Notamacropus eugenii: one gene and its partners. The protein of the gene in region 1 binds, or shares a complex with, the protein of each later gene. Links are inferred from orthologs where the notes say so. Each region holds a gene or a part of one and is shown on either strand. Other genes may lie near its edges.

Region 1 (7,948 bases):
AGCCAAATTGTCTCAAAGATATTTGTTTTATCCTTAAGACACATTTTGCTTGTGGTCCTTAATGGATTTTTCCCCATGTGTATCCATGAGTTTCCATTTATAGGAAAATGTTTTATAGTCATGCTCTGGGAACTTATTAAGATTGTATAATAGGAAGGGTCTTTGGAGATAATCGAGTCCAGCCCTCTCATTTTACAGTTAAACAAAATGAAGTCCAGGAAAGTTAAGTAACGTATTCAAGGAAACACAAGTAGTAAATATCAGAAATAGAACTTGAGATCAGACTAACTTCAGAGCAGGTACTACTGTACAGTGTTGCCTGGACTTTGTATTTTCTGATTAGAGTTGAGTTAGATTGGATTTTTTTCCCCTATTTTTATTATATAAGATAGATATTGGGGAGATGTCTAATATATAAATATATAGATATGGGCTACAGTTGGCATAGGTAGATATATGGAATCTGGCTCACCTCTGAAGAAAGGAGGCTGTGCCTGCACTGTCCACAGTCTAGTTGGGTGTGTGGGGTAAAGAACAGGTAGGATTCAGGATCATTGAGTCTAGGTGAATTCTTCTCTCTCTGAGAGGGGTATCAAATCTTTGATCCTCTTTGAAAATGAAGGATGGACAATAATATGCTAGAATTATATCTGCTACTACTCAAGTAGTTTGGGGGTATTAGTCTGGGTTTAGAATAAAAGCTGCCAGCCCTGATGGCTTTCACTGGGGGAGGGTAGCCACTCACTCATACTCACTAGTTTTACTCCCACCAAATACTAGTTACACAAAAGTCCATCTTGAACCTTTTTGTCAAAGAAAGCAGCCAATTGGGGAAATGATACAGATAAGAATAAACAAAGAATCCTTGAGGGTCAAAGAGCTCTTCAATAGGGAAGGACACAAGGTTTCAACAAAAGCAAAGCCAGAGGGAAAAATCTTACCATGGTAATGTCCTCTATGGGGGTGCAAACACAGGAAATCAAGAGACACAGTGACGGGGGCAACTTCCCCATATAGCTGAGGCCCAGGAACTCGAGTGATTCATTCTAAAGTCCCTGCCTTGCCTGGTCTCTGTCAAAGTAGAAGTCCTCTGTTGAAGTCTCTATCCAACCCACTGAAATAAGTCCCTTATAGATACAAAAGATGAGCCCAATTTTCTCCCAGAATTCACATCCTCTAAAAGGTACATAGTGCAGATCATGAGACTGTCCATTGGAAAACCACTCAACTTGCTTCGGTGGGAGTGAATATTATAGTTATATTTCCTGTCTGTCAATTACTTAACATCAATTGCTTAAGTATCCACCTAGTAAGGCCCCCTCATACTTGGCACTGGCAAAGTAAAGGGAGACAGGGATGGAATCGAGGTGAAGACTAACTCTTCTTCTCAGGAAGCTGACATCAAAATTGAGGTGATAAGACTCACTTGGAATAATTTAAGGACCTTTTATAACACGTTATGCAAAAGAAGGAAATTAATAGAGTACGTCAAACCCCTAGGTACATGAGTACGATTCTTCACTCTGTTTCCTTTGGCCCTCTAAAAGGAAAGAGTTGGGTAACTTGTGAAAAGGGGGGCAACTAGATGGTACAAAGGACAGAGCACTGCTGTGCTTAGAATCGGGGAAGATCTAAATTCAGCTCTACCTCAGACACTTACTAGCTATGTGACCCTGGGCAAGTCACTTAACTCTGTTTGCCTCAGTTTCCTCATCTGTAAAATGAGATAGAGAAGGAGATGTCAAAACACTCAAGTATCTTTGCAAAGAAAACCCCAAATGGGGTCCCAAAGAGTTGGACATGACTGAAAAACAACAATGCTTGCGAAGGATCATAGAAGAGGGGACTGTGGAGATCATCTCATCCAATTTCTTCATGATCCATGTGAACTAACTGAGCCTCAAAGAAGTGGAACGACTTGCTCAGGTAATATCATTATCTAGGTAATAAGAAGCAGAAAAAGGTTTTGATGACAAAAGCGATGACTCTAAATCTAATGTCTTTTGTATTATCCTGTGCTGTTTCCTTTCAGCTTATGCTATTTCTGCCCAAGAGATGAGTGATCCTGAAATCATTGAAGAAAGAATAACACCCATTGATCTTAAAGAGCGAGTTCCCAGAGTAGTGTTAGAAAGTATTTTTCTTTCAGGAGCTATTGATCCCTAGAGAAAAGACAAAGCACGGGTCTGGTTATTGATTAAAAGCCCCTCATCAACACTCTATTGCCTAAAGAGTAAGTTCCAAATTCATTGCTTGGCATTTGAAGCCCTTCACACTTTACCTTTTTTACCTTTACAACTTTGTTTTACCTTATTCCTCTTTCAGATCTTCTGGGCTCCACAGTGCTCCCCTCTCCTACACTTTACCCTTTTGTTCAGTTGTTTTTCAATTGTCTGACACTCTGTGACCTCATTTAGGGTTTTCTTAGCAAAGATATTGGAGTGGTTTACCATTTCCTTTTCTGGCTCATTATATAGTTGAGGAAACTGAGGCAAACAGAGTTAAATGACTTGCCCAGGGTTGCACAGTAAGTATCTGAGGCCAGATATGAACTCAGGAAGAGGAGTGTTCCTGACTCCATGCCTGGCACTCTGTGCACTATGGCATCACCTAGCTGCCTATGCACTGTATTGTCCTACACTCCACTGCTGGTCTATGCTCCAGCCAAACAGGACCAGTCACTGAGCTTCATAAATACCCCGTACTTTTCTGTCCCTGTTCACATTTTTCTCTAGTCCTAGAAAGCCCTCCTCCCCTATTTTATTCTCTTGAATTTTTCTGCATCCTTTAAAACCCAACTAAAAGCCATTTCATCCAGTCAGCTATTGCTGAAATTCCCAGACTGCTAACAATCTCCTCCACACCCACTCCTTGGACCTCTTTGTACTTCTCTTATGTACATATAATAGTGTATACTATTGTTTTGTATATGTGTGTCATTTCCCACAATTTGGGATACAAACTCCACAAAAACAGAATTCACATCTTTAATGCCTACCTCAATGCTTAACACAGTTGTTGTTGTCCTTTGTCCTTCATTCAATGACATCAGGAGGGTGATATCTTGACTTGCAAGTGACCTGGATTTAAATGAAGCAGGGCTGTGCAAAATCAGCCTCACTCTCTCCTCCAGTCATCAGAGTCGAGTGGCAAGACATAAGACAAGTTGACTGGCGATGCCCCCAGATGCAGCGGAGACCATGACCTTTTTAAGCTAAGGTCTTTCTCAGGTCTCAGTTTCTCTGAGGCAACATCTACTTAGTAATTTAAGGCTCAGTGAGAATTGAGGCAAAAGATGGTTTAGTTCAGGGGTGGGGAACCCGTGATCTGAGTCTAAGTTTTACAGAACAAACCTTTAATTAAGGGGATTTGTTCTGTGAAGTTTGGATTCAGTCAAAGGACCTTGAAGTTGCAGGTTCCCCACCCCTGGTCTAGTTTGACTTGATCTGGAAGAGGAACACTCTCAAAGTTTCTGGCCAGAACAGAAACAATTGTTATTTTGCTGGCCCTCTGAGCCATAAAATCTAAACAATGAGTAAGTGAGGCTTGGGCTGGAACCTGTTATTGGCCAGTCAGTGAGAGACAGGGTGATTGGATTTTAAAGTCTCAGTCAAGTATTTCCATTTGAATACCAATGGGTTTTATCAAAGTCTGGTTTGTCAAAGCTATATTTCTAGAAAACATAAAGGAAAACTACATTAAAAAAGAGTTAATTGTCCCAAATTAATGGGAAAAAATAATAGAATAAATAAATAAATGGAGAAGAAAAAGATCTAGCCCCCTCGAAACGTAAGTGAAAAAAACTGCATAAAAGGCTCCTCATGTGCACAGAGGGAGGAAGGGGGGGATGAGGAGAGAAATGGCAGCATATTTTATCTTCATACCTACCTCAATGCTTAATGTTGCTATTGATTGTCCTTAATTCTCAAATAGGACCAATGTGTGTGTGTGTGTGTGTGTGTGTGTGTGTGTGTGTGTGTGTGTTCGTCCTTCATTGCTGAAGAAGACCATGCTATCAGAGAAATAATGACATGACTTGCACTTGAGTTTGTTTTGAGTGAGGGAGGGCTGTGCAGGTCACCAGCCTCACTTCTCCTCCAGAGCCATCTGAATCCAATGATCAGATATTCATCAGGATGACTGGAGATGACCCAGGATGAGGCAATTGGGGTTAAGTGACTTGCCCAAAGTCACACAGCTAGTGAGTGTCAAGTGTCTGAGGTGAGATTTGAACTCAGGTCCTCCTGACTCCTGCACTGGTGCTCTATCCACTGCACTACCTAGCTGCCCTAATAGGACCAATGACATCAGGAGGGTGATGTATATGAATTGGATTTAAGCGAAGCAGGGCTGCTCAAAGTCATTGGCCTCACTGTCTCCTCCAGGGTCATCAGAATTTAGAGTCAAGACATAGGTCTGGATGACTGGTGATGGACTCGGGCTTAACACCGTGCTTTCCACATATAAGTCCTGAATCAATGTGCGTTGAGTTAATATCTGTGGGAGACTGGCTCAAATCCAACATGTCATTCACTTCAAAGGAGGCAGAGAGCATGAAAGACACCTATATTAGTACAATGAGATTGGTGGAGTTACCTAACACTATTGTTTTAATTGTACTGTTCATGGTCATCAACCAGTAATTATTGAAAATCAAGATTGTCCAGCCATGAAACAAAACAGTGCTTTGTCTCAGGGCTGATGTTGATTTGGCATTGGCGAGGAAAAGTAGCTGTTACTCCCGAGTGAGGAAAGGGAAGATTTTTCCTTCTTGATTATTGGCTTTGTGGCTGATTGATGTGGCTGCAGTTTTTCCACTTTCCTTCTCAAATCAGGCCCTTCATGCACATGCCTTTTAAATTTGCAATCAAGCAATCATAGGCACAACATATATGTACGTATGTATATATTTGTATGTATAGGGTTGATTGGGATATGAAGATCCAGAATAAAACACAAATTTTATTTTTGTGATACAATTGAGTCTCTGCAATGTCTTTTACCCTAAAAGGTTTGGAGTCAGCAAGGAACTCAGAAGAAAGGGAATAATAACAATAATGTTTTTAATGGGGGCAGAGCCAAGAAGGCAAAGAAAAGGAATGAACTTGCCTGAGCTCTCCCACATTCCCTTCCAAACAACTTTAAACCAATGCCTCAAAAATAATTCTGGAGCCACAGAATCAACAAAAGGATGGGGTGAAACAATTTTCCAGCCTAAGACAATTTAGAAGGTTGGCAGAAAATCTCTGTCACTTGGGAGTGAGAGTGGAGTACAGGTCAGGCAATGACCCTGGCAAGTCAGCAGCTGTCCTTGGCGGCAACTGAATAAGCAGCAGCAGCTTCCAGAACTCTCGGCCCACAGATGGTAAGGGGGCCAGACAACTGGCCAGAAGGAGATTATGAGGGTACCCTTGCTGACACTGTATACAGGACTTGGTTGCATTGCCCATACATGAATCCAGGTCATAGTCCTGGATTGTAGTCCCAGGGCAAGGAGGAGCCACTTCTGCTGCTACGGGGGAGTTGGGTCATAGTTCCAAGTTGGAAGAGAGTGCTGTGGTCACTCACAGCCTAGGTAAACGCACCTCTCCTTAGATCATACCACCTTGGTAGAACTAAAAACTTACAGACCCCAAGAACTAGCTCTGAAAATGACTGCACAAAAAAACCCCAAAGCATGAAACAGTGCCCCCTCCACCCTAGGATCAGAACCCAACTTTGGCATAAAGTTAAACGTCAATAAATAGGTTGGAAAAATGAGTAAACAGCAGCAACAAAATGACCTGACCATAAAAAGTTACTCTGGTGACAGCGAAGACCAAAACACAAACTCAGAAGATGATAAAGTCAAAACTGCTGCATCTGAAGCCTCAATGAAAAATATGAATTGATCTCAGCTCTACCTTCCCCCACGCAGAATTCCTGGAACAGCTCTAAAACGTTTTTTAAAAATCAGAGAGGTAGAGGAAAAATTGGGAAAAGAAATGAGAGTGATACAAGAAAATCATGAAAAAAGAATCAACAGCTTGGTAAAGAGACACAAACACACACAAAAAACTCTGAAGAAAATAATACCTTAAAAATAAAACAGACCAAATGATAAAAGAGGCACAAGAATCCACTGAAAAGAACACCTTAAAAAGAAGAATTAGCCAAATGGAGAAAAGATGTTCAAAAATTCATTGAAGAAAAGAAAAAAATGGATATTTAATGAAATAGAGGACTTTCAAGCATTCCTGATGAAAACACTAAAGCTGAATAGAAAATTTGGTTTTCAAATACAAGACTCAAGAGAACCATAAGGCAAAGAGGAAAGAGAAATCATGAGAGAGAGAGAGAGAGGAATTGAGAGAGGCAGAGACAAAGACAGTGAGAGACAGAGAGATTGAGTGAGAGGGATTGAAAGAGGTCAAGACAAAGAGAAAGAAAGAGAGACAGATAATAAGAAACAGAGACTGGGAGAAAAAGACAGGGTTTGAGAGAGAGGAACTAAGAGACAGAGACAAAGAAAGAAAGAGAGAGACAGAGAGTGAGAGAGAGACAGAGAGATTGAGAGAGAGTTTGAGAGACAGAGACTAAGAAAGACAGAATAAGAGAGAGACAGAGAAACTTAGAGAAGGAAAATGCATTAGGTACAGTTCTTAGTAACAAGAGCTCACTCTTCAGGGCCCAATTTTTTGCAGTTCTTACGCTGAAGGGAATTAATATCACTAGACCTATTGAAAAACAATCCAAAATATCACTATATGAGTATGTTATTTTGGATTGGGCTATGTTTCTCTAAGGTTTTTACATAATGCTGAGCAAAAGGTGACTTGGTAACACAGGATCCAACCTGTGGGAAGGAGAAGGGGGAAAGGGATGCTTCTTCCCCTTTGCCTTTGTGACTGGTACCTGGTCACCAAGGACTCCCTTTCCTCTCCATCCTTATTCCTAGAATACCAGCAGCAGCCCCTCTTTCTCCCTCCAGCCCAAGACAGTTTGCCTACATCACGTCCATGTTTGGGAGCGTACAATATGTGGGACACCTGAAAACAGCAATCTTTGTGGCAATGGAAGTGACGTGTGTATATTCCAGTCTCCCCAACAGGCACCTCAGAGTCTTTGTTCCCCTCTGAATTGAATTTGCCCTGGTTCCTTGAATTTCAAGTTATGACTCTGGACCTTAGAAAGAGTTTTATCATCAGACTCATATTGACAGGTCCGATCCTATCTTATGAAACAGGCAAATATGCACTTTGGCTTCTTTCTAGAGGCAGGTAGGTGGTACAGTGGAGAGTTAGGATGCTGGACCTAGAGTGAGGAAGACAAGTCACATCTAATCTCAGACACTTACTATGTGGCACTGGGCAAGTCACTTAATTTCTGTCTTCCTCAGTTTTCTTAACTGTAACATGGGGATGATAATGATACCTACCTTACAGGGCTGTCATGAAGATCAAATGTGATAACATTTATGAAGTGCTTAGAACAATGACTGTCACACTGTAGGCACTTAAAAATGTCAATTCTACCTTTTATTTTCTCCTTCATTATGCCCCAAAATCCTGTCAATCTTCAATCTCCATCATCTTTCTGCTGCTGGCTGACCAGAGGAGGCTCACACTGAGGTAGCAACAAGATGGGATGGTGAAAAGAACACTGGACCTTGAAGATAGGGGGCACTTGAGTTGAAATCCCAGATCTGGCCCATAGTAGCTGTGTGACCAAGGGCAAGTCACTTTATCTCAGAGACTCTACTTATGAAATGGGTATAATAATATTAAAATCATCAGCTGCATAGAGAATAGAAGAGGGAAGCATTTTATAAATGTTAACACATTATATAAATGTGAAGTATGACTCGTATCTCTGGAATCAACACACACAGTCTTGACTTTCCCCTGGCAGCCCCAGTCAAGGGTGGAACCAGTATCTGAGGGCTGTGGAATCTTTTAGAGATATCGCT
Region 2 (7,923 bases), on another chromosome or scaffold:
TGAGAAATTCTCCAACTTGATAGTTTATACCGGAAAACATTTTTTTCCAAATAAAATGTTTTGATAGAAGTTTTAGGTGTGTGCGTACTAGCAACCCAGATATTTATTTCATCATTTTTTATTTCATTTTTATCTCATCATTATTTTCTTTGTAGGAAAAAAGGTTTCCAAAACAGAAAACTTAATAGTTTTAGCCAAACAAATAGCATCCTGACTCAACAGGAGAAATTGTATAGTTTCTACCATTCATTGTAATATGACTTGATCCATGCATAAATTGCAAATCCCCAAAACTAGAACTACCCCTTTCTGCATTTTATGTTTTCCCTCTATCAGGAAAGGTTCCTCTCTACTAAGACCTACATAAATCTAAAGAAATGTTCTATTAAAATAACTTTAATAGTCCAATGCCAAAATTAACATATTACCTTACCATCATCTCCATTTCTTATAATAGTATATTGCTTCCTTTCCTGTAATCCCTGTCCATCATTTCCATATTTCTTTGATATTTCCAACTTCTGATGAATTCCCGCTTGGGCCTTGTCCTCCAGCTGATGCCCCCCTCACAAAACTGCTATTCGTTAAGCCTTTATTTCTGGAAATCTTCCTAATATTTCCACAGTTACGCACTGTCACTAATACTCTTCCAACTGTCTGCCTGCAGTTGAGGAAAGTGGTCCGTTTATAACACTAGAGACCCAAAGAAGGTCAAAAACATAATAGAAGTGAATATGAGCCATAAAGTTCAAATACCAGCTAAGGCCCAATTCCCAAAATACAACCAAATAGTTAAATTTATTTTAACACAAAGGTATTTAGGAGAAAGTAGCCAGTGAGGACTTCAGGTTTCTAATTAAGTTTACATAGGCTAAAAGCTGGTGTTCAAATTTAGGATTATGATAACGTACATATTAAAAGGCTTTTGAATTTACAATCTAACCTTGAAAATCATGAGACTAGATGTAATAATTAAAACCTTCAAAATTTCAATGATACTGGTAAGATTTTTCTCTCACATAAATGACTAGGCACAGGTGGATCAGAGAAATTTACACAGCCAAAGTCTTTATTTGAAATGCCTTATTAACAAGGTGGATTTCTTGTTGAAGAGTCCCATTTCAATTGTAATGAACATCTGTAGGAGATGCACTGAGTAACCAAGGCTATGTATAGATAGAATTACTTATGCCAGAGCTATTCTTAAATGAGTCCTAGAATTTTTAAAATCTGAATTCACACAGTAGGGGGAAGGTAACGTTAGTTTTGTGAAATATCCCTTATTAACGCTTTATACCAAAGTTCTCTCATAGCAGAAAAATGACAATGGGTATGCCATTAATAAATGGGTGGGTTTGACCCAGGCTGGAAAGCTCTGTGTCAGGGAGAAGTCAACAGACTGAATGTCTGATGTATGAGGACCAGCCTAGCTAAAGGAGGGAAGAGTCTGGCCACAAAGTGATCCATTTATTTTGACCAGAAGAACACATGAAGACAGAACATTTGTGATCCTCTTCACTGAGCGATGTACTCACATGGATGAAATCAGAGAACCTGGAAGTATTTGGTGAAGTAAAGAAGAACAATATAAGCTTGGAATCACAAAGTCATTGGATTCTATTGACTATGCCAAGGTTATAGAGATAAATGATGGTAGAAGCAGGCCTACAATCCAGGTTTTCTGTTCAACAGAGAGTACTTTCCACCTCACCTTTCTAGACGCTGGCCTCACTATCTCTACACCCACAGATTTGTCATCAAAGATTCTGTTGTAAATAAACTTAAAAGCACTGAGATCCTCAGTGTTGAAAAACAGCAACCACAGCCAGGCAAGAGTGGGAACAAAGGAGGCCCCCAGGTGTTAGAAGAGTCTTCAAGAAGGTAATGCAACATTCTGAAACATGAAAGATTACAAAACAGAAAAGAATACATCCTTACACATTCAGTGAGCTCAGAAGGATCTGCCCTCAATGAATGGCCATGAAAACAGACATGTAGGAGTTAAGGGGATATACACCCAGGCTGCAAACTTCAGTAGCAAAAGAGACCCCTTTAATAAGAGTAGGAGAAATAACTACCTCAGTCAGGAATCCTGGAATCCTGGAATCTTAAGAGTTAGGAAAACCCTTGAGGGTTCAACCCAGGGCAAGAATCTGCAGATATCCTGACAAGTGATCACCCTGGTACATGGATGGATCGGGCAGGGACTAACACTTAATGCCCCAATCCAGCCCGGTCTAGCACTGGTAAGCCAAAAGGCGAAAAGCTGCTGAAAAACACAACAAACCAAAAACCAGCAGAGAAGGCAAAACAAACAGCGCCAGGAGAACCGCTCTTGGGGCGCCCCTGCCTGCCCAAGGACCCTTCATTCTAAGGTCATTGCTTGGAAGCATTTTGAAGGGTCCCTCAGTCAATACGCAGACGATCCTTTAGAAGCCTAAAGCAATCAAGCGGAAAGGAAGGGGTCAGGGCGGGGGCCGAGCCCCTCACTCCCCCCCCCCCCAGGAGAAAGGCCTCCTGCCTCCAGCAGCGTCTCGCGGCGGATCTGTCGGTTCGCACGCCGCGCACCCACGAGGGAAGGCGCTCTCGGAGGCCCTCCGCGGACCCACGGACCGTGCCCCCAAAGGGCGTGCCAGGCCAGGGGGGAGAGCCAAAGGGATGCTCTGGGCCCTCCGGCGAGGAGGCCCGGGCACCGGAAGGGTGGCGCTCCTCCGGTGCCCCCCCAACGCCCAAGCCGTGACAGCTGTCTCGGGCGGACGGACGGACGGACGGGCATCCCGCTCCCGCCGGCAGAGGCTGGCATCTGGGTCGGCCGCCCGGGCGGCTCCGTCATCGCCCTCCATCCCCGCCCGCTCCCCGGGATGCTGCCCCGGCCGGGCCGTTACCTTGGTGTAGAGCTCGGACGCGGCCATGGCGCCGGCGCCGCCCGCTCGGGCCTCGTCCCCCCGCCGATGCCCCGCACGCCCCCCGGGCCGCCGGCGCTTCTGTCGGGTCTGCAGAGGCCGGGTCCCGCATGGGCCGCGGGGCAGGGCGCGGATTCAGGCGGCGGGCCGCGAGCGCTCGGCCATCCCCGGCGGGCGAAGGTCCCGGAGCTGTCCGCACGCCTCGGGATGCTGGGGCCGCTGGGGCCGCGGCTGCTGCTGCTGCTGCTCCTGCTGCTGCTGCCGCCGCCGCTTCTGCCGCCGCCGCTTCTGCCGCCGCCGCCGCCGCCGCCGCCCTGTGCATTGTGGGAGCGGGAGGAGGCAGCGCTGCCTCCGCCGCCGCTCCAGGAACTCCTGGGCTCACGCTGCCGCCCATCGGCTGCGGGCGCGGCCGGAGCATCCTCGGGGGCCAGGCGGCCCGGCGGAGCCCGGCCCTGCCCTGCCCGCGTGCCGCGCGCCTGCCCGCCTCCCCTCCACCGGGCGAGGCACACCCGGGCCAGCGGTATTTGTCTGTATTTGGCAAGCCAGCCCGGGATGGCAGGCCTGGGGTCTGCGCGGGGCGCCTAGGGCGGGGGTCGGAGATCAGGCAGGGCCTCTGCAGGGTCCCTGCCCGTGCCTGGCACGTAGTGGGCACCTCCTGAAGGCTGGTGGAGGGAGCCCTGGCAGTGGGTACTGCGGCTGGCACCGGGTGACCCAGTTCTCAGCCGGACTCCCCCTCGTGCCCTGGGCACGCAGCCCACCTCCTGAACTGTCTCCGTGTCTGTGTGTGACTCCCAAGGGTCACGGACCGCAGGGATCCGACGAAGCCTCTGTCCTGCTCCGCTGGGGCTGCGGGTGAGCGCAGTAAGGTGACTTGTCCAGGGCGTCTGCAGCGCTGCACGCGCGCTCCAGGAGTGGGTGCGCTTCCCCCCGCTCTGGAAGCCCCTTTTTACCACTCTCCGCTTTTCTTGACTCATTCTTAAATTGGTGTGATTGTTTTTCGTCTCGTCCACCCCATTCATTTGACGCACAGAGAAGCCAAGCCCCAGAAGGTGAAACACGTGCCCCAGGTTGTTGTGTGCGGTTCTGTTTGTCCTTCCTTTTCAGAGAGGACCATGACATCAGGAAGATGGTGGCAAGATTTGACTTTGATTTGAGTGAGGAAGGCTGTGCAAGGTCACCAGCCTCCCTTTCTCCTCCTGGGTCATCCGGGTCCAGTGGGCAGATATTCATCAGGACGACTGGGGATGGCCCAGGATGCAGTCGGATACCCTGGAGACACTGACCCTTTTAGGCTAAAGCCTTTTCAGGTTCTCATTTTGAGAAGTAAGTCAAGGGATGGCCCCTTTAATTAAAAAAAATCAAACTGGGAGGGGAAGACCCTCGGGGTTTCTCCTCAAAAGAGAAACAGTTACTATGGATATTTACTAATAAGGGTTTCCAATATAGCCGTCAAGTGGTACTTGGGCAGGAATCTGTTGTGGTCCAATATATGAGCTCCAGAGTGAAATGGATTTAAGGTTTGGTCTTTGAGAAAAGAAAGAGAAAAGGAAGGAAGGAAGGAACAAAGGAAGGAAGGAAGGAACGAAGGAAGGAAGGAAGGAACGAAGGAAGGAAGGAAGGAAGGAAGGAAGGAAGGAAGGAAGGGAGGGAGGGAGGGAGGAAGGAGTGTGTGGTGGGGACATGGCTAACACTGAAAGCTCAGGAACTCAGCTTGTGTACGGAGGATAAGGAAGAAGGTGAACAACTGACTCATAATGGCGGCCCAGAAACTGCTATTCTTGCACTTTAGGCCACTAGGACAATTTTTAGGAAATGGGGGATGGCAGAGGTAATAGTGTATGTGTGGAATAGGGAAAGAGACTTACATTTCACTCTATATGGAGCATACGGTGAGAAACTTCCTCTACAAGTTAAAGTCAACACCTTCTGTATTTCTGATCTTCTTAGAGAGTTGCCTAAGAGGTGAAGTGACTTACCCAAGTTCACAGTCAGTAGGTTTCAGAGGGGAGATTTGAACTCAGATCTTCCTTAACTCAAGACCTGTTCTGTATGTACTAATTAATTACTCTGCTTCTCAGGAGATCTCAAAATAATCTTGGTTTTGCCACCAATTAGCAACTCTATGCCTCATTCTCTATAATTGTAAAATGAGAAGTTTAGATTACATGATTTCACAGACTCTTCACCTCTAAAATTCTATGATCTGATGGTATAGGCTCTGGGAGCCTCCCTGAACTCTCCTAGAAATCTTCTTACTTAATCTGATGTTTGCCTGAGGCCTTAACCTAGCCCAGCCCTCCACAGTCGGTTATCTCCTGATTGCTTGCAGCTACTTCCCACTACTTCCCACCCTCTATCCTATCAAATTCCCATTCTCTTGGTTCCTGGGGTCCTACCTCTACTTACCCCATGCCATAAAACTGAATTGCTTCCATTTGAATTGTTTTAGGAAGATTCTGAAGATCACCTGGCAGGATAAGGTACCAGACACTGAGGTCCTTACTCAAACTAAACTGCCAAACATTCAAACTATACTTCAGAGAGTGTCTCCGATGGGCTGGCCACATTGTTCAAATGCAATATGTTGGCTTGCCAAGAAGACTTTTAACATGGTAGTCGGAAGAAGCGATACAAGGATACTCTCAAGGTCTCTCTCAAGAACTTTGGAATTGATAATGTGACATGGGAGACACTGGCACAGGACTGCTCGGCTTGGTGTGCCCAAATAAGAGAAGGTGCTGTGCTCTATGAGCAAAGCAGAATTGAAATAGCTCAAAGGAAATGTAGGATGCACAAATTTGGAGTATCTACCTCAGATGTTCACTTGGACTATCTGTGCGCAATCTATGGTAGAGCATTCCGAACTCTTGGTCTGATCAGCCACAGTCATACACACTGAAACTTGACTTTATCATGGTGATGTCATTTTGGTCCTCTTCAAGAAAGAACAACAACCTCACCCCAGTCTACAGACCACTCCCTTCAAGACCCTCCCTGGATCCCTCCTCCAGTTACCCCAGACTACTTGACCACCCCTAGATCCCTCCCCCAATCTTTCTGTATATAAGATCCATCTTGCCTCCATGAAAATGCTCAGATTCAATCAACTCAGATTCCGTCTAGCTCAGATTCTACCTAGCCCGCTTATCAATACAAGCTCACAAATGCTGAGATTCCTTAAGAGTCTATCCAATATGGTATGTCTTAAATAAACTTTGTTTTTCTTTGGCTGAAAGAAGCCTTCCATAGAATTCATTCAGGCAGGTCCTGGCATGTCAGTATTTTGTGAGCACCCCTAAATCTCAACAGATAGAGCTCCCAGTGTGAAGTTAGGAAGACTTACCTTCCTGAGTTCGAATCTGGCCTCAGATGCTTATTAGCTGTCTGACTCTGAACAAATCACTTAACTCTACTTGCCTCAGTTTCCTCAACTGTAAAATAAACTGGAGAAGGAAATGGCAAACCACTCCAGTATCTTTGCAAGGAAAACTCCAAATGGGGTCATGAAGAGTAGGACATGACTGAAACAACTGAACAATAAGTCCAACACTTGCATTTTATAAATGGAGAAATTAAGTTCCACCAAGGTTTTGTCTTGCACAGATTCACACAGCTAGCTGGTGGAAGACCTTGAAATGGAACCCAGGTTTTTTGGCTCACAATTTCTTTTTTTTCTCTATATCTTATGACCTCTACTTAACCTACTCTGTGGATTATTTTCCTGATCTGTCAAATCATACCTACCTTCTAGGATTGCCTTGGGGATCAAATGAAATCATAAGAAAGTGCTTTGAAAAAGTTTCAGATATTATACAGATATATGGGATATTTTAAAGGGGGGGGGGGGCGACAAACTGCATAATGTCTTTTCTCACCTATACATACCCCCAAATGCTAAGGGAATGTTTTGAGTAAAAGGAAGGACATGGAAATGGGAAGAAAAAGAAAAAGAGAGAAGATGAAGGATAGATCAGGACAAAAAAGGAAGGAAATCAGAGAACACTGCATTTGTTCACAAGTAGGATTGTTGTTGGTTTTGTGTCCATCCTTTGTTGCCGAAGAATCAGAGAAATGATGACATGACTTGCACTTGATTTTGTTTTGAATGAGGGAGGGCTGTGCAGGTCACCAGCCTCTCTTCTCCTCCAGAGAATCTGAGTCATTTGAATCCAGTGAGCAGATATTCCTCAGGATGACTGGAGATGACCCAGAATGCAATCGGAAGACCTTGGGCCCTTTAGGTCAAGGTCTTTGCAGGTACTCACTTGGGGTGAGGTAAAGCCCATTCATTGTTTAAGAAGTAGCCAGGGCATGGCACCTTTAATGAGTCCAAGAAAAAGAAAGACATCGCAAGTAGGACATCAGAATTAAAGTCACCAAACATAAACTAGATCAGTTACCTCTCCCTTACTTAATAAACCCATGGGTATTCAGACAGATATATTTACATACCTTTTCATTTGTAAATGATGAGCACTCAATTACCTATATATCAAAACTATTATAAAGCAGTTATTGTCAGTTCAACTATTGGGGCTTCGCCTCCCCCACCAAAGGCTAAGGGGGGTGGGCAATATTATTCAATGTAATGAACCTCCCAACCCTGTTCCAGGTCCAGGACTTCCAAATAATGCTAATCTCATCTTGGAACTTCCCTCAGAGGCGAGGGCCACCTGGCCCTGGGACATCCAACTAGCCCAGATGCCTTCTTGAATGGAAAATCTGAGTGAGATCCATTGGTGAGATTGGAAGTATGATTCAATGTAATGTCTCTCTCCCTGGTGTCTGGTCTTCAAAATCATCCCCTTGGGGCAGCTAGGTGGAACAGTGAATAGAGCACAGGCCCTGGAATCAGGAGGGCCTGAGTTCAAATCCAGCTTCAGACATTTGATACTTCCTAACTGTGTGACCTTGGGCAAGTCGCTTAACCCCAACTGCCTTGCCTTCCCCAAATCCCCAAACTATCCTTTCTCTTTCCATCTGCCCCCTTTCCATTCCACTCTCAGCTTTGCAGCTCCCT
Region 3 (7,437 bases), on another chromosome or scaffold:
AAAGGACAGACCCAAAGTATATTCACTTTGCCATTTTAAAAATGTGTGTGAGGGTTGCAGGGAAAAGGAAGAACAGTTTAGATGTATAAAGAAAACAGGGCTTATCCTCAAAAGACCTGGTGTGAGTTATAGTTCTCTTTCTTTAACCACCTGTCATGACCTTGAGCATCTATCTACTATCTCTGAGGCTCACTTTTTTTCTACTATAAAATAAGAGGTTTGAACTAGACTATCTCCAAAGTCTCTTCCAGCTCTAAATCTTAAAAACCTATGATCAATTCAGCATTGAAACCACATCTATCAATAGTGATTCATAAAAAAGTAGAGGCAGCATATGAATTTAGGACACTGATTCACAAATTATTGCTATAATCTAATAAGAAATTCACAGATTTCTAAAAAGCAGAGTTATCTGTTCAAATTAAGTTTATTCTAATAAAATGTGAAGAGTCATTTGGCACTAAAATGTGAATTATTTATTGATCACATAAGAGCTATGAGAAACTTCTTTTACCTTAGTGGTAAAATTCAGGTAATAAAACATACATACGGATATACACCAGAAAGTTTTTTTCCAAAAAAGAAACATGTCAATATCTCATTTTTTGGTCACATAATCAAAAGCAAGAACAAAAAGGAGTTATTATTTTTCTTCTAGAGGAACTCAAATACTCAAGTAACAATTACCACAATGATTAATATAAATTCTACTAAGCATTTAGCATCACACCATACTACTAAACCATATTTCTGAGATGTATCAACAAATGCTGTCCAAGCAACACTGACTTACACAGTACAATAACAAATGTTATCACAAGAAGACTTCATGAAACTGGTAATATTATTTAATAGCATCAATTGTTTATTTTGCCTGATCTTCAAACCCAGGCTATTTTCTCCTCGAATTTGTAAATAAACCATCATCTAAAGTAACTAAAATTAAACAAACTTTAATTAAAACTAAATGTAATGCAAATTTAAAATAAAAAAGAGCAACAAAATAAAAAGGAAAAACAAAAGCTGTTCTTTGAGAAAACAAGCATTTAGCCACCCAGGAGTTTGGGACATCCCATTATCTCCCTAAAAATCATGTCACCATTCTGCATTAAGTGACAATCAGAAAAGGATTCAGTCAATACAGACAGCCTAGATGTAAATGACAACTGCTAAATTTCCTCCAAATCCTTCCTCCCAGGAACTGAAAGATCCCCATTAACCTTCAGATACATCACACTCCACGTAAAGTGAAAACTTGTAAGCCATTGTACAAATTTCCCACTTAAAAATCACACCAAGTCAGCTCAGGGGTGAAATACCAGTGCTAAAGTTTATGCCCGTGGTTCTCCCCTTTACCCATCTTCCACCACTCAGAAAAGCTTTATTTTTCCCCCCTGTTCTTATTCCCACCAGGAATCTGACTATTGAAACCTCAGGAGAGGCACCTCTAAGCCTTAGTGACTTCATCTTGCCAAAAAACAAAGAACACAAAACACAACAACTCTCAAAAACAAGTCACAAATAAAGTTCCTGGACTGATAAACTGAAATCCTTATGAAAAACATGGAGACCCTATCAAGGTTATTTATTTATGTGCATAAGCTAATAATTTCTTTTATCCAAAAAGGTGCACTTTAACACAAACCAGGCAGTACCGAGTAGTGGGGTAGAAAGCTTGTCTATCTACAGAAAGATTTCATGCTTTAAGGGAAGGAAATGTTTTCGAGTGTGTAACTTGCTCTTTGTTTTCAAAAGTGAATTCTTAATAGACTTTATAAGAAATCTATAATATGTGCTGTGCATATTTTTTTATTCTCTGGGTACTTATCGCTTTTGGTCTTCATGGAGAGTTGCTCAAAACTCCAAGGAAAAATTAAACTCAGAAAAAGAGGTTCCTATTCATAAAAGATTCCTATCTTTTTTTTAAAAAGCCAGTAAACCTGAGCTCAAGCCTCGGACCTAGAGTGACCGATTCAAGACTGCCTCGGACACAGATCGCCAACCTCTCGAGAAGCTAATCAGTTCTCTGAATTGATAGGTATAAGTAAGCAGTGTCAGAGGGAGTTGTCCGTCTGTCCATCCACGCAAGATCGTAGCCCCAGAGCTGAAGGGTGCACAAGGGGGTCCTAACCCTTCCCTGTCATTTCCCAGGGCAGGACGCAGGGAGCTGAGTTCAAGGCTTCGCTCGGGGGATCCGGACAAGTCACTTTCGCCGATCGATGGCTCCGGGGAACTCGCTAAGATCCCAGTTTCCTATAACTCCCAGGTACAGTCGGGGTGGGGGAGGTTCCATTCCAATGAAATCACAGCCCCCCCCCCCAAAATCAGCCGCTTGACGCTCCCCCAGCACCCCAGAGAAACAGGTGCTGCTACCACCCTCGCGGGCCACGGAGGTGATCGATCACTCATGCGGACTGATTGGTTTGGAAGGCGCCGAGCACCGCGCCCGGTATACAGCAGGGTCTAACTCAGTGCTCGTCGCCCGAGTGGGACGCCCCAAGTTTCCGGGGGGCAGGTCGGGATCCCCCCTTTTTTCGGAGACGCCCTCGAACTTCATGGTGGGCGGCCCTGGGCTGGCGGGGGGTTAATCAGTAACCGCGGCCGCCTGCGGAGCGAGGCCGGGGCCCGTGGGAGGCGCTCCCCGAGCCCGCCCGGCGCCGCAGGGCTCCTGGGGGAAGCGGCGGGGCGAGCGCCCGGGCTCCGTGGCCCGACGCGGGGAAGGCCCGTGGGCTCCAAGGTCCGGCTCCGCGCGCCGACCCCTCCGCGGGCGCCTCCTCACCGCAGCCGGCCGCGCTCCGAGGGGCGGGCGGAGGCGGAGGGGGCGGTGCTGCGGCTCGCGCTCCCCGCTCCCTCCCCCGTCCTCCCTGAAGCTGACACTCACCTGACCGAAACCCCCGCGGAGAGGCTCCCCCCCGCCACGAGCCCGCCCGCCGGGGCGCAGGGACCACGGGAGGAAGCCGGATCCGCAGCTGCCCCGGCCGACGCCGCTCCGCTTCTGGCCCAGCTCGGCGCACTGCGCTGGGGGGAGCAGTCGGAGGAGCCGGACACTGCGCCTGCGCCGCGGGGACCGGAGCCGGCGAGAGGGACCCAACTCCCCACCCCGCCCCACCCCGCCCGCACCTGACTCCCCTTTCCCCCTTAAAGTGGAGAGGCAGGACGGCCGGGTCGGTCCGAAGGGCCGGCGCGCCGCGGCGCCCCCTAGCGCCCAGAGGCGTCCCCTGCGCGCGCCCCGGGCACTGCAGGTTCATTGGGCCGCAGGTGTCTGGGGCCGGGGTGGTTTCCCCGGGAACAGTCCCGAGTCGGCGCAGAGCTGCCTTGACTCGGGGCCAGACTCGTCAATGTCACCAGCGTGTTCGAGTCCCAAAAAGCCCCCGAAGGCGCTGGGCAGCTGGAGGACCGGGGCTGCTGGAAAGGGACCTGCCGCGTGGGCTTCTCGGAGTCGGAGGGGACACGCGTGGAAGGGGAAAGTCGATTCATTCCTTCCCACCCCCATCCCTGCCTTTCCAGGAACTGCTTGGAGGAAACTGTGTTGTTTTTAAAAGCGGCTCTTGCCTTGAAGGCTGACTCCCTTAAACTACTACAAGGTGACTGTTCCGAGACTTCCAAATGAGAGAAAAAAAAAATGGAAATTGCGAGAGGGAAAAAAGAAAATAAAAGTAGCCATTAAAAAAAATTCATATATGGGGGTGTGAGTCCCCGAAGGCTCCATCTCAGGTTCACAGATCTAGTAGAAGAGACTCCAGAGGTCACCGAGCTGGCCAAGCTCACATTTAGTTTGCGTGACTAGTATCAATCAATCAGTCAACATTTATTAAGTTCCTACTATGTGCCAGGCACCGTATTAAGAGCAAAGCATACACAGTAATGTGCACAGAGTCATCGATCTAGTGGAAGAAGGGAAGAAAACAAGTATTTATTTGTTATTGTTCTATCAGGTTTTCTTGGCAAAAATACTTGAGTGATTTGCCATTTCCTTCTCCAGATCATTTTACAGATGAGGAAACTGAGGCACATTTGGGTTAAGTGACTTGCCCAGAGTCACACAGCTACTAAGTTTCTAAAGGCAGATTTGAATTCCGGAAGACTCCAAGCCCAGCGCTATATTCAGTGCATGACTACAATGTATCAAGTGCATGACTACAATGTATCAAGTGCTGTACAGATAACTCACTTGATTCTCACAGCAACCTTACTTAGGAGGTAAGTGCTCTTATTATCTCATTTTACAATTAAGGAAATTGATATAGACAAAGGTTAAGTGGCTTGCCCAGGGTCACAGAGCTAATAAGTATCTGAGACCCAATTTGAACACGAGTTTTCTTGACTCCAGGTCCAGTGCTCTATCCGCTGTGCCACCAACCGCCTCCACCAGGAGTTTCTGAGTCAGTCAAGAATGAAGTCAACAAACAGAAGAAAAAGAAAAGAAAGTGATATGATAACTTTATTATATATTTAAAAGGAGTAACAAGTTGTACATAATAGATTTGCAGTTTCATGTACAATCACCTTTTTCCCCCATTCTACTGTGTTATGGAAATGTTTGTTTTATTTAAGTTCAGAATAAAATAAATAGTTTTTTAAAAAGACATACTATGTGCCAGACACTATGCCAAGCACCAGGAGTACACCAGGAAAAAAAATCAATCCCTGTTTAGTCAGAGGCCAGCTAGTCCAACCTCCACATTGTACATTCCATGAGGGATGTGAAGGTTCTGGGCTCAAATTAATTTATGTGACTCATGCATTTATTAAGGATATTATATTGATATAAGATCATACACAGCCAGAAGGGACCTCAGAAGCCAACAAATCCAACCATTTCATCTGACAAGAGGCTTTGGCTCTAGGCTCACATATATCTAATGTGACTCACATGTGTATATATATGCATGACACACTACCTTGAAATGTGATGCAATTCAATTCAAACAACACTTAATAAGCAAACAATAAACTAACAATCAAAAAACATTTATTAAGTACCTACTGTGTGCCAGGTACTGTTCTGAGTACTGAAGATGCAAAGACCAAAATAAATCATTGTGATAGAATTCTCACCCATGAATGTTATATATATTACTGAAAGCATGGTGGGTGTACAGGAAATGGTAAACTTTCCTGTGCAGAGAGTTCTGTCTCCAGGCCACTTAGAACCACCTACCATCAGCATGGCCCATTAGAATGCTATGTGGCAGTGATCCCTCCCCTGCTCTTGGATTGCCAGCAATCTGGTGGTGAGAAACCATGATTCATTTTGTTGTTATTCAAGAACACTTATTAAGTGCCTATTAGGAACAAAGCAATTGATGCCTCTGATCTAGCTGGGACAATGCCCCAAACTAACCAGATGACATTTGTTTTGAACAGGATGACCAGTTAGTGGGGGTTTTGTGACAGAGGGGATTGTTGGTTAAGTGTAAGTTAGAATAACTTGCCTCTGAGTTCCCTTCCACCTCTGAATCTGTAAAAGTTGAAATTTAATACTAACAAATACAGCATCCTGCATTTGAGATCAAAATACAAAATATGGAGGAGGGAGAAAAAAAAAATAAAAACCAAGCCTAAGAAATAGGAAAAAAATACACCAAGGTTTTAGTGGTCTGCAAACTCAGTAAGAGCTAGCAATGTGATGTGCCTGACAAAAGAAGTAATTAGGGTTGAGGCTATGCTAAAAGTCCTCACCCTTTAAGAGAGAAGAGAAAAAGAGGGAGAGGGAAAGAGAAAAAGAGGGAGAGAGAGAGAGAGAGAGTGTGTGTGTGTATGTTTTGGAGTATGGGTGAGGGAGCAGAGCAGAGTTTTAACCAGCTACATATACCATAGAAAATTTTGAGGACCTAGCAATGTTTAGCCAGAAGACTTAAGAGGTACAGAATGATTGACAATATTTGAAGGTCATCTAATAAAAAAAGAAGAAGATTTGGAGGTTTGGGGACCCAGAGGGCAGAGCTAAGACCAGTAAGTAGAAGTTAAAAAAAAAAAAAGACAGATTTCAACCCCATGTAAGGAAAACTGTCCTACATATTAGAATTGACCCAAAGTAGAATAGTCATCCTTTGACATGAGTAACTCACCCATAAATAGAGGTGATTAAGCAGAGACTCAGTGGGTTTGTCTTAGATCAACTCTTAAGTCAGAGATCCTTTGGTTCTGTGAGACTCTGATTAGTTAAACTATGGTTGCACTTTGTAGTTTCCATACACAAACATACTAAAATTCTTAACCCCATGATTGGGGGTGGGGGTGGGAGGGTGGAATGGAACCTGAGGTTTCATTGGTGTGAGGATCTCCTGAAAAGGAAATTCCTTCTACCAAAGCAGACTGACCCTTGTTCTGCAACTTAGTCTTAGGTTGCCTGGGGAGCTGAGAGGGTAGTTCATTCCACTTTTGGACACTGTAATTAGTAAAAGTATAATTTTCCATAACAAAGGCTTAAATAAAGTTGAGTGATTTGCCCAAGTTGAGACTTGAACTCAAATCAGCAACAATACAATATTTTCTTTACTATTCTATGCCAATCTACTGGCCTTAAGATGAAGAAGGGGAAAAAAATGACCTAAGAATCAACAAAACAAGTTGCAAATTGAGTCAGGGGTGGAAAGTATGCTTCTTGAAAGCAGGGATTATTGAACTCTTATCTCTTAGCACAGAACTTGGCTCATAAGGTGATAAATTCTTATTGAACTGAGTTGAATTAGAAATTAGAATTAGAAAATAACATTTCTTTCTCTGTTGTGTTCTTTCTGTTAATTCTGATTGATTTTTTAAAGTTTCTTATAGCTGTTTTGTTCTTTCCTTGTTATAATGTGGCAACAATGATTTTTTGGAAGAGTCTGCAAACTGATATTTTAGTACTAGAAAGAAGGAATACAAATAGAGAAAAGAAGAAAAGCTATTCCCCAAATAGATAAGTGGGCAGCAAGGTGGCATTGTGGATAGAGAGCTGAACCTAGAGTCTGGAAGACTCATTTTCCTGAGTTCAAATCTGATCTCAGATACTTACTAGCTGTATGACCCTGGGCAAGTCACTTGATCCAATGTGCATCAGTTTCCTCATATGCAAAATGAACTGAAGAAGGAAATGGCAAACCACTCCAGTATGTCTGCTAAGAAAAACTCAAATGGGGTCACAAAGAGTTGGATGTGACTGAAATAATTGAACAACAAAATAAATGATCAAAGGATATGAGTAAGCAGTTTTCAAAAGAAGAAATGCAAACTATGCACAATCAGATAAAAATGTTTCCAATCACTGATAGTAAGAGGTATGAAAATTAAAACAAACTGCCTTTGTACCTCACACCCATTAGATGGGCAAAAATGATGAAAAAAAATGGTGGTCATTGGAGTGACTGTGGGAGGGATTCACTTCTGGTGGACATACAAAGTGGACTGAATGATTCTGGAAAGCAATTTGGAACAGTACTCCCAAAGTGACTA
Region 4 (7,110 bases), about 74 Mb from region 1:
GACATTGAGGAGACAGGCTATAGCAAAGGGTGTGTGTGAGGGAGGAGGGGGAGACACAGTCTTTTTCAACTGGTAAAATTAAGAGGGATTGGAAAAAGCTTTCTGTAAAAGTTTTAGTTTTAGTTTAGTCTGCTCAATAAACACAAAAGGAGAGAGCTTTCCCACAATCTTTCAAAAGTAGAATTTCACAGGTTGATTTAAAAAACAAACATTCATATATGCTGTCAGGCCATAAAACCTGTCAGGTTCCCAACTCCAATTCAAATACTTCCTAAGGGCCATTAATGCCCAAGACACCCTACTAGGCAAGGAGATGCTAACACAAAAAGGAAATTATCTGTCATAGGAGCTTAGGTTCTATTGGGAGGGAAGATAAACCTGTAATTAATTCCAGAAGGAAAACCCATCAGACTTCACCCAGCCCCCATCCCATTTACTGGGGTAAGTGTGTGGAAAGGAGGGGAAGAAAATCTGAAAAAGCTTCCAAAAGTAGGTGGAGCATGATCAAGACTTCCTGGCTACCTTCTCCCACGTCTCAATTATTCTACTTCTAAAAGAGAGAATGATTCTTGCCAAAAGGGTAGTAAAGGATTTTCTGCTACTGGTTGCTGGCAAGACTTAGTTAATTTAATTTAGTTTAGAATGCAATAAATTGAAAACCTGATTACAACATGCTACTAAAATGATTCATTTAGAGTGAACTGTTATTTTAGTTTTCTGTTTGAGGTAGATTTTTTTTTTAACTAAGCAGAAAAATGCTTGTTTTTATTGTTATGATTTTAAACTTCAGCACTTGAGTCAGTCAACAAAATAGTTTTAGCAACCAGAGAAGTATTCTTTTGGTACACTGTAGAAGAGATTCTTGTTCAGGTTCAGATTGGATTAGATGCCCTCTGGTCCCTTTCAGTCCCGAGATTCTGAAACAATAGGGCACATTTACACACCAAACCAGCTTTCCACCTTCTACAGAGCTCTTAGGCAAGAAACCTTTCTTTATCTGGCCGGAGGAATTCTAACTATTGTCTCATCCACATTAACACCACCCTTCTATTGAGTAAGGTTGACATAAAACTCATGTGAAAAACTGATCGGCTAAAGTCAGGAGTCTATTTTCAAATTCCTGTTGAAATCAGAAGCAGGTCTTTATCTCCCTTGAACACAATAATTCACTTGTTTCAGGACTTGGCTCTTACAACTTAGAAAATAGTTCTGAGGGTTTTTCTTCTTTTACCTCCTAAAATTACACACACACACACACACACACACACACACTACACACTCTGTTCTGTAGTCCTCCTGTGATTGAAGGTTTGGAGATGAGTCAGTTAATTATCAGGGCTACACACAGAGACAGGATGAAGTAACCTATTCTTTGGCCCATTGTCAACTCTGATACTCTTCTGTGGTAAGATAACAGTTCATAATTATATTCATCATAAATTCTGCCATATGCTAATTTGTCACCCTTCCTGAAGCTGTCACGACCCCTTTTCTCTATTCTCTAACACCTACCTGTTTGCCTCTAAAACGTGAGAGACTGTCAACTGCCATGCAACCCAAACGCTATCTTAAATGTTTTCACAGGTTAATAGGGATTGAAATTCTGCTGGTTAGGGATTTTGTCATTCTTCATGTTCATCCAGGACCAGTACAATACGCTGTGGTTATCCAACTACACTCTTTCATTGTTGTAGTGAAAAGGGCTTTGGAATTGGTGTCAGAAGACCTAGATTGAATTATGAGCTCTGCTGTTTCCTAGCTCTGTGATCTTGGGGCAAGTCATTTACCCTCCGTGCTTTACTTTCAATCGTAAAATGGGGATAATGCTCTCTACCCAGTCTACCCCACAAGGCTGTAGAGAGGATCAAATAAAACCACAAAACAACGGCAGCATCTCAGAGCTGGAAAAGATCCTCCCAGGTTATCTCCAAAGGCTGAACAAATCATTTCTTCAACAACTTTATGTGCGCTTGGCTTGAAGAGCTCTGCAAATGGGAGACACACTACCTCATGAGGCAGCACATTCCATTTTTTAAAACACAGTTCTATTAGGAAGGTTGTCCTTAATTCGCATCAAAATTTACCTGCATAGGACTTAGACTTATTATTACTAGGTCTGACTTTTGGGACTAAGCAGAAGTCGAATCCTTCTATTTAATATTACGTGCCTACTATGTTCCAGGCGCTCGCGCTGGAGTTACAAAAAGAGGCAAAAGACAGTCCTGTCTCTTGTCTGGTGGGAAGAACTCTAGGGTGGGGTTGCAGTCTGGCAGGCTGTCCACTTACTGGTAGATAGACAAATCACTTTGCCCCTTTCTGAGCCTTTCCCCTCATCTGTACAACGGGGAGAATCCCTGTACTACCCGCCCCCCGCTTATTACAATTGTGGGAAAAGCCGTGGTTAAACCAATCTAATAAATCCTGTCCATTCCTCAGGAAAAACAGAACAACCCAGACAAAACACTTCCCCTCCTGCCAGGTCTTTAAGAGACACTGAATCAAGCACCCACTATGCGCAAGGCGCATCCCCAGTTCTTCGTTTCTGGGACAGTTTCTAGCCCCCTGTTGCCTTCCTCCGTGGGCAAGCGCTTTAGGAACTTGTCAAGGGTGAGTGCTCGGACAGCCCGCGGTCAGAAGTCGGATGCATCGCCGCAGGTTCCCGGGAGCCAGACCTTGGCCACTACCGGCTCCCGGGAGGTCGAGCCAAAAGAGCTTCTGTTCCCCAGCCCGGCCCTGGGCGGAGGGGAGAGGGAGGGAGGGATGGAGAGAGAGGAATGCGGGGCGGCTCCCCCGGGGCAAGGGCAGAATGGGGTGTGTCTGTGGTGGGGCCGCCCCGGCCCCCCTCCCCTCCCCTCTAAGCGGGCGCGGACTTCAGAGGTCCTCCCAGTCGGGAGGGAGCCCCTCATTTAAGGCGAGAATCCCGGAGGGATGGCCACTACGAGAGGCAAGAGGACCACGGACGCTCCGGCCGTCCGGGCGGTCCTGGGCATCGAAGCCGCGCCGCGCCGCACACCCTCAGCCACTTTATGGTGAAGGTGGCCTCTCCTTGAGGACTAGGACGGCACCCAGGCTCCCGCGGGGTGTGGGGGAGGAGGCTGGGAACCGGTGCGGTCCCAGATCGCCCCATCCTTCAGCACCACCTCCGCTCACCCCAGCACAAGGCAATCAGGTGACGTCACCGCCTCGGCAGCGGCGGCCCCGCAGTTCTAACTTCCCCCTCGCCCTCCCCCAGAGGGAGGAGAGCCACAGGGCCCACCAGTACGTTCCCGCGGCTTGGCACCTGGAGCAGCCCCATTCCCACACTCCAACCTCCTTTTTCGAGGAGGCGGAGACAAAGAGCCTGGGGCGTGAGGAGGGAGCCAGTTCCAAACTCCCACGTTTCCTCGCAGCACACCCACCCCTGCCGGCGCCCGCCGCAGCGGGGCCTAGTCAGACCGCCGCGCCGCTCTTTTATAGTCATCTCGGAGGGGGCGGGGCCAATCCAGACGCTCATGAACGTGTTGACGCCACGCGGCCGGGAGAAGGGGCGGGGCTAAGGGCTCGAGCTCAGCTGCCTCCCGACTCTTCAGGCTACCCTCCGCCCCCTCAGCTTCGGGGATCGAACCCGAGAACAGAGCGGCCAGGGCGGTGGGCTCTCTCCTTAGGCTCGCGGGCCCCCCCACCGCTCCCCAGCGCGACCCCATCCCTCCCTCCCCTCGTCGTGGGCCTCTTCCCAGCCGCCATGGGGCCCCCCCCGCCGCTCCCGGTGTGTGCGGAGAGATGAGGGGCGTCGGTGGTCAAGATGGATGCGGGGGCCCGACGGCCCCAGCCGCGGCTTCGCCTGGTCCGGGCGCTGGAGGGTCTGGGGGTGCCCGCAGGGCAGCGGCGCCCGCACGGATGCAGTGATGCTCTCGGCGGCCGCCGCCCGTCCTCCTCCTCCTCCTCCTCCTCCTCCTCCCGCGGTGTCTGAGGAGCTCTTTTGTCTGCGGCCCGAGCCGCAGGGAATCACCCGCCGCGCAGCCCCGCCGTCGCGGGCCGCAGCCCGGCCTCGGCCCTGAGGGGTGGGGGCGGGGTGGGGGCTGCTTCGCCGTCGTTGGCCTCCCCGGCCAGTCTCCTTCCCATGAAAATGGAGCCGGATTTATTCGTGACTCTGTCCGCATCGGCCGGGACCACGTCGGACTCCCTGCTGACGTTCGGGGACCTGTTCCCGGAGCAGAAAGGGAAATACTTCCTCATGGACCTGGAGAAAGTGTCGGAGGAATCCCGGGGGCAGGTGCCTGGTCCCGATCTGGTGCTGCTTCCTCCAGAGACCCCCCCGCAGCCCTCGGTGCTTTTAGGGCCTGTTCTGCAGGAAAAGGGGTCTGTGGCTTTCCAGCAAGTTTTGGGGGAGGTGAAGCTCCGCCAGGACTTATTTTCTGAAGGACCCATCAACTATTTGTATCGGTTAGAAAATCCGGACCTCTGTCTTTTGGACCAAGAGACCCATACTCCTGTCGCGGACCCCGACCGGGATTTATCTGTCAGTGACAAGCAGATGTCTTTGCTAGGTGTGGTTAACGATTCGTCTGAAGAGGATTTTAATACAGCTCTTACCTTGGGGCAGGATCCCGAAGTCTCCGACCGGTTAACAGGTTCTGACGAGCAGGAGCAGGAGGACCTCTATGCTCTGGAATTGGGCCCACCTCGGTCACCTCCGCAGGATTTACAATTGAGCATGGAATTTAGGGAGCAGGAATCATGTACGGAAAACCGCCTTGGAGAAAGGGATAACATTCTTCAGGATCAAAGAGATTTTTACTTAGGCATGGACCAGGCTGCTCCCCCGGACACCAAAACCCAGCTCTCAGGACTTGATCCAGTTTTTTCCTGGACTAAAGAGCCAGAGGATTATGTGCCCGGAAGATGCCAGAAAAGTGTTTCGTTAAGTGCGGAGGATTTAAATCATAGTTACCAAATTAGTAATGAAATAAACTTCTTTCCCTCTTTCACTACTTCCACTTTGTGTGATCTGAAATTAGATATAGTTCAGAATAACCTGGGCCAACCCTCTGATTTCAACCAGACTGAACCAATTCCAAATGAGCCTTCCGGGTGTCAGGAAGATGGCCCTCGCCTCAGAGCTGTGTTTGATGCCCTAGACAGAGATGGGGATGGTTTTGTCCGTATAGAAGAGTTTGTTCAATTTGCTACGGTTTATGGTGCAGAACAGGTAATATAATCCAACATTTCTCTGATTTAGGTAATTGTTTGTATGTCCTTGACTATGTGCCTCCCATGTGTTTTTATTTCATCTGAAAATTTATCTTTTTGATTTTCCATCATGAACAAATAATGTCACTAGTATATCTGTTTACATTAAATATTGGGCAATCTTGAAATGTATGGACAAAGATAATAGCGTTGGGAGGGTTTTTTCCCCTTCCACACTGTAGTGTCCTTTATCTCTGATCATATTTCTTTGAATCTTTTTCCCCCTCCCCCCCTTTAAAATTTTGTTTTTGTGTCACTCTCCCACAAATACGGTAAAATATCTTCTAGATCTAGTAAGGATAATTTTATCAACTTTAGCCTAGAGCAATCTTGGACATAAAGTTAGAGGGGCCAACCTTAATCAAAAACCTGAACTTATAGCTGGGTTTTTGGGGGAGGGGGGTTGAGGTAATACATAAGGACCTATAAAATCCTGTAACTGCGAAGGACATATTAGTAGCTTCTAGTTTTGAACAGTTATTTTAAAATGTGTGGTTAGGAATTTTTCTAAATAATGGGGTTTTTTATTTAGAGCCAAGAAAAGTAGAATTATTTTTCCCTACCTCCAATTGATTTTCTGCCTATACTCCTTTGAACTATTTAATTACTAAATGCACAAATTAACAGATGATTAGCGTTGGAAGGAAAGGCTGAGTTTGAACCAGCTACCTCTGGAACCTCAGGCAAACTCCCTCTGCCTGAGCTACCAGGCAGGAAGCTCAAGGGCTCTGTACAGTCAGCAAGCAGCCTTTTGGCTTGGCAGCCACAGCCTGCAGTGATGTTGCTACTGCTGGGTGGGATGCCTCCTCCTGCCTGTCACTCCTTCCTCTTCTCTTCAACTCAGGGCCTCCTCACAGGGCTTCTTTCCAACAAGAGATAATCATGGCATATTGTAGATCCAGAGCTGGAAGGAACCTCAGAGACCATCTAGAGTGACTCCCTTATTTTATAGATGAGGAAACTGAGGCCCAGAGAGTTTAAATTACTTGCCCAATCTCATCTATTCTAACCCTTTCTTTTACAACTAGGGAAACTAAGGCCACATAATTGTTTTTCCCCATGACTAAACTAGTCATCAATAATAATAACATGTATATAGGCTCTTAAGGTTTGCAACGCACTTAGCTCATAGCAGACCTGTGAGGTAGGTAGGTTGTACAAGTGCTATTACCTAATATATAGATGAGGATACTGAGGCACTGAGCAGTAAAGTGATCTGACCATGATCACACAGATAGGAAGTGGCAGATGTGGGATTTGAATGATTCTATCAGAAAAATCTCTTAAGATTTTGATAGTGATAGACGTAATTAAATTTTTAGTTTACCTTAAGGATTCTTCTTATTTTTTAAAAACCTCTCATTAAACATTGTCTGCTTTTCAACATTAGTTGAAAACTACACATTGTTACAAGTTCTTGTCTAAAGTGATTCTTAAGTTACCATCCTTTTCGCAGCTTAAGGCTCATCATTTTCAGATACATATTTGCATTTATGTATATGGCACAAGATCATGGTCCTTATGTGACCTAGTTTATAGTAATATGTTTTATTAGAAGGCTATCTGTACCCACTGTTTTGTAAACTATAGGGTAATGACAAGTTCCTAAATGTGGTTCTGATAGGATTTTATACTTTGGTGGCTTCTTGTATATACATCAGCATTAAATTGGGCATTAAAGTATATTCACAATTTAAGCAGAAATCCTTTTAAAGATAAAATGTAATATCAACTATTCAGAATACTATTTACTTACTGTAATGATGTTTATAAGTCAGCCTTACCTATAAAAACACAATATTTATGATATCTATTGTCTGAAACATACTGTACACACATGACAATATAGCTATCTATCTCATGGTTCTTTGAGCGTAGCCT

Evidence for each region.
Region 2: the proteins of RAB11A (region 1) and MYO5A are in contact, whole or in part, in a crystal structure (PDB 5JCZ), measured with the Homo sapiens proteins. The link is inferred for Notamacropus eugenii from reciprocal best matches to the Homo sapiens genes RAB11A and MYO5A. Residues at the interface, in NP_004654.1 of Homo sapiens: Arg33, Glu35, Ile44, Gly45, Val46, Glu47, Phe48, Ala49, Thr50, Gln63, Trp65, Gln70, Tyr73, Ala75, Ile76, Ala79, Arg82; in NP_001369276.1 of Homo sapiens: Ile1660, Gln1661, Trp1738, Met1742, Arg1745, Tyr1746, Ser1749, Gln1750, Glu1753, Arg1756, Gln1777, Gln1780, Val1781, Lys1782, Lys1784, Met1795, Glu1818.
Region 3: the proteins of RAB11A (region 1) and RAB3IP are in contact, whole or in part, in a crystal structure (PDB 4UJ5), measured with the Homo sapiens proteins. The link is inferred for Notamacropus eugenii from reciprocal best matches to the Homo sapiens genes RAB11A and RAB3IP. Residues at the interface, in NP_004654.1 of Homo sapiens: Phe36, Leu38, Glu39, Asp127, Leu128, Arg129, His130, Leu131, Arg132, Ala133, Pro135, Thr136, Leu156; in NP_783322.1 of Homo sapiens: Asn367, Thr368, Leu369, Ser370, Ile371, Glu372, Pro373, Asp412, Arg424, Thr428, Cys431, Asn432, Thr435, Tyr439, Leu444, Val445, Lys446, Gln447, Gln448.
Region 4: the proteins of RAB11A (region 1) and RAB11FIP3 are in contact, whole or in part, in a crystal structure (PDB 2HV8), measured with the Homo sapiens proteins. The link is inferred for Notamacropus eugenii from reciprocal best matches to the Homo sapiens genes RAB11A and RAB11FIP3. Residues at the interface, in NP_004654.1 of Homo sapiens: Arg33, Ile44, Gly45, Val46, Glu47, Phe48, Ala49, Thr50, Trp65, Arg72, Arg74, Ala75, Ile76, Ala79, Tyr80, Arg82; in NP_055515.1 of Homo sapiens: Asn731, Phe732, Gln735, Ile738, Asp739, Arg740, Ile742, Val743, Met746, Glu747, Pro750, Ser751, Leu753, Glu754, Val755, Lys756.

The regions. Positions count from the first base shown.
Region 1 is NC_092872.1:128,251,820-128,259,767, reverse strand, and holds the start of RAB11A (ras-related protein Rab-11A), read right to left. Parts: upstream 3,015-7,948; 5' UTR 2,999-3,014; intron 1-2,998. UniProt on the Homo sapiens protein: The small GTPases Rab are key regulators of intracellular membrane trafficking, from the formation of transport vesicles to their fusion with membranes.
Region 2 is NC_092878.1:381,263-389,185, reverse strand, and holds the start of MYO5A (unconventional myosin-Va), read right to left. Parts: upstream 3,009-7,923; 5' UTR 2,913-3,008; coding exon 2,886-2,912; intron 1-2,885. UniProt on the Homo sapiens protein: Processive actin-based motor that can move in large steps approximating the 36-nm pseudo-repeat of the actin filament. Can hydrolyze ATP in the presence of actin, which is essential for its function as a motor protein. Involved in melanosome transport.
Region 3 is NC_092874.1:247,281,512-247,288,948, reverse strand, and holds the start of RAB3IP (rab-3A-interacting protein), read right to left. Parts: upstream 3,009-7,437; 5' UTR 2,882-3,008; intron 1-2,881. UniProt on the Homo sapiens protein: Guanine nucleotide exchange factor (GEF) which may activate RAB8A and RAB8B. Promotes the exchange of GDP to GTP, converting inactive GDP-bound Rab proteins into their active GTP-bound form.
Region 4 is NC_092872.1:54,402,588-54,409,697, reverse strand, and holds the start of RAB11FIP3 (rab11 family-interacting protein 3), read left to right. Parts: upstream 1-4,099; coding exon 4,100-5,188; intron 5,189-7,110. UniProt on the Homo sapiens protein: Downstream effector molecule for Rab11 GTPase which is involved in endocytic trafficking, cytokinesis and intracellular ciliogenesis by participating in membrane delivery. Recruited by Rab11 to endosomes where it links Rab11 to dynein motor complex.